Linked DNA regions of Arabidopsis thaliana. The protein of the gene in region 3 interacts with the protein of the main gene of each other region in a pairwise test. Each region holds a gene or a part of one and is shown on either strand. Other genes may lie near its edges.

Region 1 (3,923 bases), on a different chromosome or scaffold from region 3:
ATCACAAACCTCCATGTGAGTTTCCACCACTATTGTGTCTCTGTCCTAAAACAAAATGTGTATCGCATTAAATTAGTTTTCGCCCCTTTTTGTTATTTTTAGAATACAAATTACCAACTTGCTTATTCAATCTTAGAGGTGATGACTAGCTAAAGAAGGGACACCACTAACGTGCCACTTGTGTAGAGATATTCAATTGTATATTATATAGTATGCAATATGAATTTTGTTTTGTTTTTTATATAATTTATATTTTTTCCGCCAATATTATTTTATTTATATGAAGTCTTAACTTATTAAACGTTTGCACAAAAAAGAAAAAATAAACTTCTTATTACGTCTCATACACAGGGTTCGGACCTTATTAGTGGCATTTGCGCAGAGTTACTATTATCGATCACTTAAAAACATATATAGGAAAAGTATATCGGTAATGGAGCTCTAGATGTAGAAATTTCGTAATGAAATTATGAAATCTCAATTAAGATGAACATGGCATGGCATACCTAGCCTAGTTGTATCGATGTTATGTTTGGATTTATATGCTTATGGCAGAAAGTAACAAATACAGAAATACAATAATGCTACTACATGGTTATAATATATGGTCTCTTTTGTTAAGACAACGACCAACACAACTACACCACAAGATAATCATCGATTAGTACATTATTAAATCTTAACTATTATTGCTAAAATCTAGGGATAGTTGAAATATAAAACTATACGATGCACTATTACATACATTCTCCATTAATCATTTGGTAATGATGAAGTGCTCCAATTATATACTACCTTTCTTTATTTTGTTATGTTCCTTAACATCTCTATTACTAAAGATTTTCGGAGATTATGAAATATTGTGAGGCATATATGATATATTCATACAAATTACTCTACACGTTTTTGAAAATTGATAGGTTTAAACATGATTGTACCAGGGAAGACATGGTCAAACAGAAAGCTATTAGCTTTGATGAGGGACCTCTTAACAAAAAATTTGTTGGTAGAGCCAAAATGATTGAACTGACAAATTTTCATAGAGTTTGGTGAATTGAATAACTCCATATGACCAATTCTGTTTTGTAAGACAACGAAAATTATGTTTTTCGAATATCTTTGTGTTATCGTACAGAGGAGCGAGTCACCAGAAAGCACAAACACAACGATTTTGTATCAATTACATCGATACGCAATACAAATATTTGGAATATGTCATACATATGTATTGGGCCTTTATCTCATGTCTCATCAAACCTCGTATCTATCATAAACTTACGATTCACAGACCCACTTACTACTTATTCTGGCCCATTAAAGTTCTTCTTTTTTTGTCGGTTCTAGCCCATTAAAGTTCAGCAACCCTTATTATTCATTTTTTAGTCTTTCTATTTCTAATTATTCAATTTTATCCAAATAATGAATGAATAAAGTTAAACACCGACACTGTTATATATATATATATATATAACAATACACCGCCACGTGAGAACTACGAATGGGAATTTCGCATTACATGTTTCGTTAACAATATAAACTGGAGGAAAAAAACACATCGAAAGGAAAAAAATTCAATGTAAGAAAAAGTGAGGGAAAGGCAAATCAAAGACGTGTTCTACACTAAAAGGAAAAGTATGAGGAAAAACTAACAATAAATTAAACAAAATTTGGTATTTTATTACGTAATAGTAGTATTAATTAATTAAAAGAATTGACATTGACCTAACAAAAATTCTTAAAACAAAAAGAAAGAAAAATTTGTTTGAACAATAATGGAATGACTTTGTTTGTTTGGAGAACAAGCTAAGCTGACGTGTCTAATAACTCAACACGTCAGCTAACAGACATATATAAACAAGTGTATATAGAGTTAACGTTATCCAATCATAGACGAAAAGAAAAAGGTTCCTTTTTTTGACTTTGTATCCGTAGATCATCTTCTTCTTCTTCTTCCAGAGTTTTATCCTTATCCGTTCCATCAAATTCTCTCTCTGTAAGTTTTCTGTTGATTTCTCTGTTACATACTCTGTTTTGATTTCTCTAGATTTAGAATTCATTTTTTTCCCCGAAAAGACGCGGAATTTCGATTTGGGTGTTGAAAACAAAATTAGGGTTTTGTGTCTCAATTTCTTTGATTGTGTATATTCTCAGAAGCAAAGATGAATAAAGGAAGCATCTTTAAGATGGACAACGATTTCGGTTAGTCTTTTATTCTTTACTGTTTCGATTTTGTGACCTAGAATCAGTATAGAGGCATACATGTGTATCAGCGTTCATATCTGTATATGTATATCTGATTTCTAGAGATTGTTTATGTGCAGAAAAGAGAAAAGCTGAAGCTGGAAGGATCAGGGAGAAATACCCTGATCGAATTCCTGTAAGTTTTGTTTTGATTTTTATCTGATTTTGTTCTGGTCTTGTAAGGTTTTCTTATGGTAATAGATCTCTGTTTTGCGTGTCTTTCAATTTATGATGTAGCATGAGTCTGTGTATGTAATTTAATAGTTTAGTTTGGGATGCATCTGTCTTTGTGTTGTTTTTGTTAATTTGATCAGTTCTGTTCTGTTCTTGTAAGGTTTTCTTATGTTTTTGTACCTGTGTTTGCGTATTTATCAATGTATGCTGAATTCGGTTTCACAAACAATATCATGAATCTTCGTGGTGAAATTTAGTTTAGGTTACAGAACATTAGCTTCGTTGTTTGAGAATCCAATACTGTTTGTTTTTTCTACAAGATTCAGATTATCTTACATTGTAGTTTGGTTGCAGGTGATTGTGGAAAAGGCTGAGAAAAGTGAAGTCCCAAATATAGACAAGAAGAAGTAAGTACCTTTTGTTGATCATGTTAAACTTGTTATTTGTTCAATGTTTTCAAGACTTGTATGTAATTTTGGAATTGTTCTGGATTTTGATAAATGCAGGTACCTTGTGCCATCAGACCTAACAGTTGGTCAATTTGTGTATGTGATTCGGAAGAGAATCAAACTAAGTGCAGAGAAAGCTATCTTCATTTTCGTAGACAATGTTCTTCCTCCAACAGGAGAGCTAATGTCAAGCGTTTACGAGGATAAGAAAGACGAAGATGGCTTCCTTTACATCACTTACAGTGGCGAGAACACATTCGGTGCTTCTTCAATCTAATCTCTGACCTCTGAGAATCCGCCACGTTTTAATGCTTCTTCCCAACTTTCAATTTGTGTGTATAGTTTGTTCTCAATATTTATCATTTCTCAAATAATTGTGATTACTATCTTCTTTTCACTTGTTAAAATGTACATAGACTAATCTTATAATATTATCTTCCTTTGGTATTATAAGTTTGTGTGGCTTTCTTTCTCCCTCAAAGATTTCATTCATTAGACTGGTATCATTTGATGATGCTACTACATGAATTCTTTCTTGGATACTAAACGGACCACTCTAGAAGGTATCTTACAAATTTGGATAAACTAGACCAAACCAAATATTGGAAACGAGTAATGATGAGATGTAGACTCTTTGAATTTTGTTTTTGGGATTATCTTGTCCAGTTGCATTTGGAAATATAATCGGTTGATGCTGAAAGATCTATCATTCATAAAAAAATCTAAAGGAATGGGGACTAATGCAATGTAAAACAATATCTTATCAACAACGTATAATGGATCTACACAACTATGATCAAACTGATGCATACCACCCAGAGAGACACTCTGTCTCAAAGTTTGTGGAGCCTCTTCTTTCACAAACAAACAAGACAAAAATCTTGTCTTTTCCCTTTCTGTGATAGAAAAATAAATTAACAATTCCTAAAAAATAGTCTAATCAATTTCAAGACCTCAAGTTGCAAAAGCCAACTAGCTGGATAGTTTTGTTTCTTACTCTAATTTTCTTAAGTCGCTCACATGCTATTTTATCTCTCGGTATATGTAATTAGTAATAAC
Region 2 (5,703 bases), on a different chromosome or scaffold from region 3:
CCATAAACGGAGCATCTGCAGCAATAGGCACAGGTTGAATTGGCACAGAACTCACAGTAATAACTTCAGAAACATCATCACCAGTCTTCTTATCATCATCTATCTTCTTGACTTCCCGTGACTCATCATCCGAGCTGGAGCTGCTGCTGCTGCTGCTACTACTACTGCTGCTACTAGAGCTCTTGTCATGATCATGGCTTGAATCAGTGATCTCTATGCGTTCATTAACACCATCATCGCTCTCCTTGTCACCTTGGCTTCTCGAATCTAGCACATCAGTTTACAAATCCAATCAATATCACAAACAGAGTGACTTAACACTGACTATTCAAGTCAAATCTAACTATTGTACCATCCAGAGAATGAAACATATACTAGTAAACAAAATAGGCACAGCTACTACTAATGAAACCAAAGCATCAGAGATAAACAAAACTCAGCAAATGATAAACAACTTCAATCATAATCATGAATCTGATAAACAAAACTATCCTTTAGTCCAAAACAGAAAACTAGATTCAACCCATATGGATTACGAAGCAGAACATGCTAAAATTAACCGAAAGATCAAATTTTTACAGCTTGAGATCCCAAAATTGTGAGCCTAAAACCCCAATCAAAACACAAAGAAGAGTAAAAAAGATACCCATTTGTTTAGATCAATGAGCACAAAACCATAAAAATCAAAACTTGAAGAAACTATACAGAGAACAAAGTTAAAAAAAAACTCAGATTTAAAGCGAAGCAAATATATAAACAAACAAGAAAGGTGGCCTAAACGTGTGTGGTGTGAGTGAATAATTGAGAGATACAGAGAGACAACAACAAGAAGAAAAAGGCAAAAAGAAGAAAGTAGTAGTGAGATTATGGGGTGTTAAAAGAATTAAAAACCATGGTTGTTGGATTTGAGGTTGATTAGAGTAGAAGATCCTTGTTGTTGTTGTTCTTCCTCTTGCTTTTTCTTGGCAGCTTTCCTTTTCTTAGCACCTGAAGGCATGATTTAGGCTAGGCTCCTTTGGTGGGGATCGATCTCAAAAACAGCTATGGCGGATCGTGGCTTTTGTCTCTTTGATTTCTCTCTGTTAAAATATAATGGCGTCTTCTTTTCTGTCGAGCCGTAAATGTTTCAAAACTCAAATTGGTGGAAGTGGGAAAGTTTTAGATTCTTCTTATACATACATGTGAAAGGGTTTCTGAGTTTTATTGCTTTTTTTTAACTGTAAAATCACTAATTGATCTTCTTGTAATTTTGTTTCCGCGTTTGTTTCGTTTATTTTCCGCGTTTGGTTTACTAATTTAGCTATTAACGAAATAGTATAATGGATAGAGATTATTTTTGTAAAGTTTGTTCAAACAAAATCATCTTTACAACTTGATTGTGTTATAGATAAATTAAAACAAAAAAATGTTGTCATTCAGTACTTTAGATACCAATATACATTTGTCTTTTGGTTGACTATAATTTGATTTAAGTTTACATCAACAATAGAACCCTGTTTTAAGAACATGGAATTTAATGAAATATCTCACTGAAATTTTAAGTCGGTAGAGTAGGAATCTATACTATACTGAGAAAGGCAACGTTAATAATAAAATAAAAGAAAAAGTATATAGGTTGTCTTTTCAGATTATAATTATGTAATGGCAGTTAGGACAAAATGATATGGGAGGAGTGGGGACAAATAACAAGTGGTTATGAGTTGTCCATGTCAGTTTTTTTGTTAATACCTATACTTTTAAGTTTTAATTAACTTAATCTCAGTTTATGCCAAACGGATTTAGCTAATTTTAATTAATTACTCAATAATAATCGTAAGTCGTAACGTAAGGTTTTTAGTAGAAAAGCCTCGTCTGCTTCCAAATAATTCAATCGCGAACGCTCCTTTTAATCAGACCGGACCGGACCGGTTTGGTTCAATCAATCGAATCGACCCGACCCGCTTAGATCGATGTGTGTGCTCTGTGATTGACTGATTTTCTCAGAGGGATAATCAGTGACACATCGAGTCGAAGAAGAACATACATTTCTACTGAATCAGATCTGATCTGCTTTGTCAGTTTTTAAACTGTTCTGATCTAATTGAGATTTCTCAATTCCACTCAAAATCCTTTAAAGCTTGTCTCTTTTTGGTATCTCTGAATCAATTTGGGGAAATCAAGAGGAGAAGTGACAATGGATGCGTTTAGAAGACAAGCGAGTAAGCTTAGAGACCAAGTCGCAAAGCAGCAACTGGTAATTCCTTTTCATCGCCGCAACTAGTTTCACTGTTACCGATTCAGCGAAACGAAGCTCAATTTAGGTTCTTTGTTGCTAATTTGGATTAAAAAAAATGGAAACTTTTTGATGGGTTTTGATTTGTATATTATTGAGTATTATAGAGTTACACAATCTTGGTTGTGATGATGTGTTGATTGATGTGTGGTAATGGGGAATGTAGGCTGTGATAAAGCAATTCAGTGGGACTGGTTATGAAAGCTCAGATGTAATGGTGATTGATGAGCTTGAAATGCAAAGGCATCATCAACTCGATAAACTTTACCGCTCTACTCGTTCTGCAAAGGTTTGACTGATATTGACCTAATGGCATTGTCACATTTTATATGAGTTCATTGTTGGGGGAGAAGGTTTCAGTATGATTCATCGTAGCACAATACCCTCAAACATATGTTATTGTCACTTTCAGGAGTTCCAGAGAGATATTGTTAAAGCAGCTGAGGCATTTACCACGATCGGGCTCAGACACATTGAAGCAGGTACTTAACTACTTATGAGTGTCTGTTTTGTGTTACCTATCATTGAATTAAGTTATACTATGATACTTTTGTGAGTTTTCTTTTAATATTCTTTAAAATTTCAGGAACCAAGTTGTCTGAAGACTGTTGTAGGTATGGGAACGAAAATAGTCAGAACATTGATGAGAATATACTGGCCAAGGCTGCAGCTATATACGGTGATGCACGGAAACATGTAGACAAAGAACAAGAAGACTTCAACAAGCTTTTGGCTTCTCAGGTTCGGCTTGGATTATCTGTGTTTAATCTTAGTATGTTTACGTAGAATTAAATCTAGTAGATAACAAGAGAAAACCTTTTTGTTAAATGCCGTTAAGGTTTTGGATCCTCTAAGAGCTATGGTTGCCGGTTCTCCTCTTGAAGATGCTCGTCATCTTGCTCAACGTTACAGCCGCATGAGACAAGAAGCAGAGACACATGTAATCATCTTAAGATCTTAGTTCTATGATGATGTTGGCTATTTTATTTTGTAATGTAAGTTAAAACTTAAAAGCAAAACAGGCAACGGAAGTCTCTAGACGGCAAGCACGTGTAAGAGAAGCTCCGATTCCAGAAAACGTAGCAAAGCTTCAACTAGCGGAAGCAAAAATGCAAGAGCTAAAAGCAAATATGGCAGTCCTTGGTAAAGAAGCAACTGCTGCATTAGCCGCTGTTGAATCACAGCAACATAGACTCACTTTCCAGAGGCTTGTGGCTATGGTATGTTTTACATACACACACACTGGATTTTTTTGTCATATGCAGATTACTATTTACCTTATCGCTTATTCTAGGTTGAAGGGGAGAAGAATTATCACTTAAGAATAGCAGCCATCCTCAGTGACATTGAAGCCGAGGTTAGTATTGGATGAATCTTTCCCACATCTTTTTCTCATCAAAGGCTCACACTTTTGGTCTTACCGCGTAGATGGTAACCGAGAAACAACACAAAGAATCTGCTCCTCCTGCGATTCCAACAGAGAACGGCTCAGAGAAAACGTCATACTTTCTTGCTGAAGTAAGTTTTATCTTCCGTAATATTATCATCGCATATCTCACAGAAAGAAAAAGACTCTCCATAAGCAACATATATGTTCTCTCGCAGGTGATTCATCCATTTTCCGCTGCTTCAGAGAAAGAGTTAGACTTGGACAAAGGAGATTACATCGTTGTCCGAAAGGTTCACATCTTCTTACTAGTATCAAAGAACTAACTTCTGTAGTGAGAGAGCATGAAACTTAACTCTCTGTGTGCTGTTTTTCTTTCGTATTCTCAGGTGAGCCAAACCGGTTGGGCTGAAGGAGAATGCAAAGGCAAAGCTGGTTGGTTTCCTATGGCTTACATTGAGAAGCGACAGAGACTTCCCACTACCAACTTTGCTGCTGAAGTTTACTGAGTCTCTTCTTCAAAGATTTCATTTTTTCTTACATTTGTGTCTGAAAACTTTGTTTCAGTTATGTCCTGTCCCCAACAAACTACTACTCTTGTTCATATTTGTTGATCCAAAATAGAGTTTACCTCCAAAAAATGTTTTATTGATTCTTCTTATTGAAGAGTGTTCTTAATGAAGATAACAAGAAAAGGAACAAATGAAACGTTTCTAACATTTGGAACGCACTTTGTTAGAAAGCAAACCCAAAGAATTCAATTAGTGTGGTACGAGGCTTTTAAAGCTCGAAGTAAAAGGATCTGTTTGTCTCAAATTTATGAGTTCCAATGGACAAAATTAACGAATCAATTCCAAAAATTCTCTCTTTCATTCCAACCAAAAACAAAAAGTCTCTTAATTTGCACTCATGTGCAGAGTGACAAGAGAAGCATAAGCACCACCTGAAATCTTCATCAGTGTCTCATGCCTTCCTTTCTCAGCAATAACTCCGTTTTTCACAACCGCGATCACGTCTGCGTTCTTAATCGTCGTAAGCCGATGAGCCACAACTACAGTGGTTCGATTAACCATAACTCGATCAAGTGCATCCTGAACAACACGCTCAGATTCTGCGTCCAATGCACTCGTCGCTTCATCAAGCAACAAAATCTTAGGATCTTTCAAAATCGCGCGCGCAATCGCAATCCTCTGTTTCTGACCGCCCGATAGCTGAACACCGCGTTCTCCAACCGACGTATCGTAACCCTGAGGCAATGAGCTGATGAAGTTATGTGCGTTTGCGGCTTTTGCTGCTGCTATAATCTCTTCCTCTGTGGCTCCACCGGTTTTACCATAAGCTATGTTTGATCTGATCGTCTCGTTGAACAAAATCGGTTCTTGACTAACCAAACCCATCTGTTGCCTTAACCAACTCAATTTAAATGTCTGAATCTCCACCTGATCGATCAAAATCTTGCCTGAATCTGGATTATAAAACCTCTCAATCATGCTTATCACCGTTGATTTCCCGCTCCCGCTCTCTCCAACAAGTGCAACGGTCTGAAAAAACAACCAATAACCAATATTAACCGGTGAACCAGATTTAACCGGTAATTAAAAAGCTCTGTTTTTTACCTTTCCAGAAGGGATAGTCAAGCACAAATCTCTGAAAATCTGAACGTCCGGTCGCATTGGGTATCGGAAACTAACATGTCGGAATTCGATATCACCATTAACGTTTTGTAACGTTGTACCTTCATCAGAGCTAGAATCAATCTTCGGTGTACTATCGAGAATATCGAAAATCGAAGCTGCAGAGTCTTTAGCTTTGTTTGAATCAGGTGCCATAGCACTCGTTTGAGAAACTCCAATCGCCATAATCGTCAATGCAAAGAAAACCTGTAAAAAATACACTCTCAAGATCACTAAACCGAACCAGATCTTAATTAAACCGAGAAATGTTTCTCATCTTACCTTGAAGACTTCACCAAATGTGGCTTTACCAATTTGAATCAACCCGGCACCACTGACGAAACATACACAATTGATGCAATAGAGGAAAA
Region 3 (5,832 bases):
TCTCTGTTTCAGTATATGTATTCAAACACAATAAAGATATTCATCTAATCCGGGAAGAAACAAAGCACAAACCTTTGATTTGACTCTCAACAACAGCAGGAGAAGTTTCCCTTCTTCTCTTCTTACTGTTCTGGCTACCATCAGACAAATATCCAACCTGAGGTTGCTCAAATTCTTCTGTTAAACAAGATTTCTCAAGCTGTTCGGATTCATATGAGACTGTCTTGGTTGTGGAATACTTCTGTTCAAGGGATTTCTTCTCTTTCTTTAATTTCTTTTCTTTCTTTTTCTCCTTCTTCTCTTTCCGATGCAGCTTTTTAGAATCAACTATTGGTCTTTCGATCTTTATAATCCAATCAGAATAAAGGATTTAGACTAGAGGAAGGATTTATCAGGCAAACAACCAGATACCCATATACGTGGGTAACATCATTCAACCACAAACACACATAATGTTAATTACTCAAAACATATATCTACAACGCGTCTTTATGGTTGACTTTATAATTGGAGACCAAACCAAACTAACATACATGTCTACACGACATCGTTAAGAACGAAATTCATTATGCTAAAACATGTATAGTGTAGATTCAATTCATAGATCTATGCTGAAGATATTTTCCTACAATTTAACCAATCAATAACTTATATGCAACCTAGAGATCTGGCTACAAAGAGGATATTATAAGGAAATTTAACTCTGACCGAACACAGAAACCCATGTTCAGACAAGAGGACACCGTAGCGAATCAATCACAAGAATTGAGTGCTCGACGAACCTTAGTCCATTCGACCAAGTTTTGACCGTTCGCCCAGTTCCTCGCATACACAGGCGGTGGGGATGTGAAATATCGTGACATCGTTTTTTCTTCTTCTCTTTCTTTCTTTCTCAGATCGAATCGACTAACGGACAAGACAACGGACAGTAATTCGGACAGAACTAAATCGAACCTAGGTTTCAGATTCGCGCCTAATGAAACTTCTTCTTTGTGGCGCGAAATCAAAACGAAATCGATAACGAGAGACGGAAGAGAGAAGAACCCTAATTTTTTTTTTCGATTCGATTTTGTTAATCGATGAGAGAGAGAGAAAGAAGAAAAAAACCAATTGCGGTTGAGAAAATAATGGTGAAGGGTAAGGTTCTATTTAAAGACGCGTGAAACACTCAGATCCGCCGACTCGGGCTATACTTACGTTTTTGGAAAGAATAATGTGAAAACCCTAATTTGTAAGGGCTATTCCGTCAATTAGTCGTTATCATCTCCGTGAAGCTCGGTCCGAGTTTGCTACGTCATCTGAAATACCCTTTTTATCCTTTGCGTCTTTCTTACTCCAAACTTTATTATTGGGCTTAACAAAAACTACAAAAGCCCAAAACCCAATGTTAATACGAGGAGAATAATTAATTTTAATTGACTTTGTGATTAATGGGTCTCTTGTCCGACTTGGTTCCTTACGCTTGCATAGAAAAACAGCTACAATTATCTGTGGGCATCACGCGTTAAAAAACCATCTCTTACTTCTAATCAACGGTTCATTATACCGCCACGTGTATTATTATTAAATATACAAAAAAGTTCGCGGCACAGACAATCCTTCCCTCACCAAATATTCCCTTGACTCTCTCGATCTATCTTTCATCTTCATCTTCGTCATCGTTTCCAATTTCCGATATAATCTGATCAAATCATCGCCGACGATCACCGATTCAGCGATGCAACAGGGAGATTACAATTCGTACTATCACCACCAATACTCTCAATTTCAAAATCCTACTCCGAATCCTAATCCTAATCCCAATCCTTCTCCGCCGGCGCCGGCAACCGTAGCTGGTCCGACCGATCTTACTCGAAACACGTACGCATCAGCGCCACCGTTCACCGGCGGTTACGGTTCCGCCGATTACTCTAACTATTCACAGAATTACACTCCTTACGGGCAAAACTCTGAGCATGTCCCTCCTTCAGCTCCTTCCTTCACTTCACCATCACAACCTCCTCCTTCTCCGCCGGCGACATCACTAAACCCTAATTCTTATTCAACCTTCAACCAACCACCACCTCCACCCACGATTCATCCACAACCTCTATCCTCTTATGGATCATTTGATTCTACTGCTCCGTATCAGCAACCTACCTCGCAACATATGTATTACTCACCGTATGATCAGCATCAAACCTCTGGCTATTCATCTGCGCCTCCTCCTTCATCTGCGCCTGCGCCGAATCCTAATCCCGCGCCTTATTCATCATCCTTGTACTCTGCACCTCCTTATAGTAGCGGAGGATCATCCATACCTCCTTCGTATGAGAAACCGTCAGTGAAATTTGATCAATCTGGTTATGACGGTTATAACCGGAGCAGATCGGATTTAGGATCTGATCTATACGGAAAACGATCTGATAGCGGAGAATATCCTGCTTTTGAAGATTCCTATGGCGATGGCGTTTATGCTTATCAAGGAGGCAAAGTTGAGCCATACGGTTCTCGTGGAACTGCGCCGAAATCATCGAATTCAACATTGTTCGATGATTATGGACGATCCATTAGCTTTTCTTCTTCAGGGAGAGATTCTTCTGTTAGCTCGAATTCTGCTAAGATCGTGAGAGCTGTTCCTAAGGCTGATGTGCAGGAAGATTCCACTGGTGGTGTGCAGAAATTTCGTGTCAAATTGTTGGCTGAGACTTATGGACAAACCACAACAGATGTTCTTTGTCAGGTAATGTCCCCAATTCAATTTGAACTTTGTGTTACCTAAACTAGTTTTAGTGAATTGGTTTTGTGCTAGCAGATTGGTTTGGATGGTCTTCGTATGCTTGATCCAAGTACTAGCCGAACTTTGAGAATATATCCTCTTGAGAACATCACAAGATGCGAAGTAAGAGATTATCTACCTTCTTCTTATGACTGAATTTGTTCCATTTTTGTGACTGGAGGTCTTATCTATTGTTGTAAATGTCTTTCTATCAGAAACTAGATTCGTCTATTCTGGCTTTCTGGTCTAAGACTCCGGTAGACATTGAAGCTAAACGTATCAGATTGCAATCAAATAGTTACACCACCAACACCCTTCTGGACACTGTGACGGCTGCAATGTTTCAGGTTCATAAAATTTACAAATTTTGTTTCATTAAAAGTCTATATGTCAATTCCATCATGATTTCTTTTGACTAATCCAATGTTCTTATGTTGGTGGGTTTTAGGCCAAGGAGATCGGGGGAAGTAGCAGGCCTCCCACCTCTGGAAAACTGATTGAACAAACTGCTGAGAAGAAAAAAGGATTGGGTGATTGGATGAACATTATAAAGCCTGTTAATGAGGAGAAAGATCATTGGGTAGGTTTTTTTTTTTTTGGAAGAAAAACACATTTCTCTTGTAGTCAAAGTAAAAGGGCTAGGGTAGTTTTGGTGATTAGTTACATCACTTGATTCTTATTTTCTTGCTTAGCTGTGGTATGTTGTTCTCATTCCATGTTATTTTTGGCTTTAGGTACCTGATGAAGCTGTTTCTAAGTGCACATCATGTGGTTCAGATTTCGGTGCATTTATACGAAGGGTATTATTTTCCCCGATCTAACAATCTGAATTAAATTTTTGGCCATGTTGGGACTATCAAACCTTATGGATTTTTTATTTTCTAGCACCACTGCAGGAATTGTGGTGACGTCTTCTGTGACAAGTGTACTCAAGGCAGGATTGCTCTCACTGCTGAGGATAATGCTCCTCAAGTCCGTGTTTGTGACCGGTGCATGGTATGCTTATCTGTCTGTTTATTTTTCCTTAAGTTGAGAAATCATGTTCCGTTGATTCCTGAGAATGTAGCTTTAAGTTAATTTGAACTGGTATCTTGTCTTTTATGCGTATGCCTCTAAGTTCAATCTGTTTCTGGATGTGCAGGCAGAAGTGTCACAAAGGTTGAGTAATGCCAAGGAAACCACTGGCAGGAATGTGAGCCTGCAGAGCCATGAAGACCTTGCTAGAAAGTTACAGGTGAGCTAATCGTCCTTGGTTCTTTATTAAGTTTAATGATTTACAAGTTGAGTTAATATCTTGGGCAAAGTATATAATTGTTTTCTGATGGCGGATATGTTTGATACAGGAGGAAATGGAGAGAAACCGCAAGTCTTCGTCTGGTAATTTTTCATATCTAATATACTTATGTTTATGATATATTGTTTCTGGTATTTTATGGTTGCTGACAATGATAGCTATGATTCTAACAGGTTTGAGGGAAGGATCTGGGAGGCGGATGAAAGAAGTAGCTTGTCCAACATGCACTGTGCACTTACAGGTTAGATCCTTTGATAGCATGTCTTTCGTTGTATGATTTTGGGACCCAATTTTTTCTAGAATAAGGAAAACAGGGAGGTCCTCATAATCACTTGTGTCAGTGTGTATGATCATCTTGCAAACTACATTGACGAAATAGAATAGCTAGAGAAATGTTTATGTCTTACGTGAGACCTCTAGTATTAAACAGTTACATATGGTCGATGTGATTTTCTATTAAGATTGGATCATGGAGATTGTCGCTTAATCATCTGAATAAATAGTTAAAGCAAGTTGATAGATAACTCGAGGCAGATTGGAATTTGAAGTTGGCTTGTTTGTAGTGTCTCTTGATAGTATGCGTTTATGAGAGCATTGCCATTTAAATTGCAGGTCCAGGTTCCAGTCTCAGGATCAGAGACCATTGAGTGCGGAGTTTGCCAAAACCCTTTCCTCGTTAGCGCACATTGATCTTCCTACCCGCTTTTTTGCTTGACATATATATCAATTATAAGTATGAGATTTGGTTCATTTGGTTATTGAATTGGGTTTGATCACATCAAAATAAGTTCTTGTCCTGTCTCATGTGGATGGTGTTTCCCCTTTGTGTGTATATGAAAGTCTTTTGAGTGATGAACATCTTATACTTTTCATGTAGTCTGTTGTCCTACTGATGTCTGATTGGTTAATTTACTGTATCAGTCCTCCAATGTCATTACTCCTGCTTCAATTTCTCTGACCACTCACATGTAGTCCAATCGGTTCGTTGTTCATTATGTATTTTACTACCATTAGGTCCAAACACTTGAAACGTTATGTTATACTGCGCCTGGAACCGAAACAGAGCGGTTTCAAGTTGACCTGGTCTTCTTCCATGGTAATTGCAAATCCTCTGATTCGAATCAATGAATGCTACAATGGTGTAAAATACTGTGCTACAATGGTGTACCAAATTTTTAAGCTTTCCTTTCATATTCAATTGATTCAATTAGGTTAAGTATCATAAAACGCTTTAATATTCTTGTCCACACTTGTTCTTTCTCGAGGGTCGAGGCTGTGTTTATTCGAGTTGTTTTTGGAAAATCATCTCGTATTTTTTTTCTTTTGAGAGAATAGTGTAGAAACTGTGGTCTTATAGTTTTAGAGGGTAATACGAAAATGAGAGTGCGATTAGTAATGGATAACTGAATTTAAGAAAAGTTCAAAGTGTGTGAATGAGAAGGAGTCGTAAGAGACAAGCATCTTCTTCTTATAACCATCTAAACCACATGCTTATGTCCACTTTTTTTCTTTCTTTCTGAGTGAAAAACACTTTAGTCTCCCACTCTTTATATTTTGTAGCTTCACAGCAAAAATTCTCTTTTACTTATCAGACAGATAAGATCATATAGCAAATATGTTGCAAGATAGAGTTTCTGGTTCTTTGTCTAGTTCGAAAATATCTCGATGTGTTTTGTTTCTCTCACTCTTTTGTTTCTTCCTCTTGACGATGCATGCTTCAGCAAACCGCTTACAGCGAGTTCCAAATCCAGGGCCTTCCCCGGCACCAGAGCCTAAGCCA

The links. Proteins that work in one complex are often made in the same cells at the same time.
Region 1: the proteins of AT1G20110 (region 3) and ATG8E interact in a two-hybrid assay, tested with the Arabidopsis thaliana proteins (one study listed by BioGRID).
Region 2: the proteins of AT1G20110 (region 3) and AT4G18060 interact in a two-hybrid assay, tested with the Arabidopsis thaliana proteins (one study listed by BioGRID).

The regions. Positions count from the first base shown.
Region 1 is NC_003071.7:18,622,386-18,626,308, forward strand, and holds ATG8E (AUTOPHAGY 8E), read left to right. Parts: upstream 1-1,878; 5' UTR 1,879-1,993; exon of another isoform or gene 1,994-2,151; 5' UTR 2,152-2,159; coding exon 2,160-2,199; intron 2,200-2,321; coding exon 2,322-2,377; intron 2,378-2,769; coding exon 2,770-2,822; intron 2,823-2,921; coding exon 2,922-3,141; 3' UTR 3,142-3,406; downstream 3,407-3,923. UniProt on the Arabidopsis thaliana protein: Ubiquitin-like modifier involved in autophagosomes formation. May mediate the delivery of the autophagosomes to the vacuole via the microtubule cytoskeleton.
Region 2 is NC_003075.7:10,026,133-10,031,835, reverse strand, and holds AT4G18060 (SH3 domain-containing protein), read left to right. Parts: upstream 1-1,802; 5' UTR 1,803-2,173; coding exon 2,174-2,233; intron 2,234-2,438; coding exon 2,439-2,561; intron 2,562-2,684; coding exon 2,685-2,754; intron 2,755-2,858; coding exon 2,859-3,013; intron 3,014-3,110; coding exon 3,111-3,212; intron 3,213-3,294; coding exon 3,295-3,492; intron 3,493-3,566; coding exon 3,567-3,629; intron 3,630-3,700; coding exon 3,701-3,790; intron 3,791-3,877; coding exon 3,878-3,952; intron 3,953-4,048; coding exon 4,049-4,168; 3' UTR 4,169-4,555; downstream 4,556-5,703. Other genes in the region: AT4G18070 (suppressor), read right to left, coding at 1-267, 892-997; ABCB9 (P-glycoprotein 9), read right to left, coding at 4,556-5,200, 5,276-5,539, 5,615-5,703. UniProt on the Arabidopsis thaliana protein: May be involved in the recruitment of DRP2A to the accessory protein complex and in the negative regulation of its GTPase activity.
Region 3 is NC_003070.9:6,969,837-6,975,668, forward strand, and holds AT1G20110 (RING/FYVE/PHD zinc finger superfamily protein), read left to right. Parts: upstream 1-1,587; 5' UTR 1,588-1,717; coding exon 1,718-2,722; intron 2,723-2,794; coding exon 2,795-2,881; intron 2,882-2,973; coding exon 2,974-3,105; intron 3,106-3,206; coding exon 3,207-3,338; intron 3,339-3,492; coding exon 3,493-3,558; intron 3,559-3,643; coding exon 3,644-3,754; intron 3,755-3,899; coding exon 3,900-3,992; intron 3,993-4,101; coding exon 4,102-4,135; intron 4,136-4,225; coding exon 4,226-4,293; intron 4,294-4,664; coding exon 4,665-4,742; 3' UTR 4,743-5,294; downstream 5,295-5,832. Other genes in the region: AT1G20100 (DNA ligase-like protein), read right to left, coding at 73-343, 783-863; AT1G20120 (GDSL-like Lipase/Acylhydrolase superfamily protein), read left to right, coding at 5,668-5,832. UniProt on the Arabidopsis thaliana protein: Endosomal sorting complex required for transport (ESCRT) component regulating multivesicular body (MVB) protein sorting and plant growth. Required for the formation of intra-luminal vesicles (ILVs)in MVBs.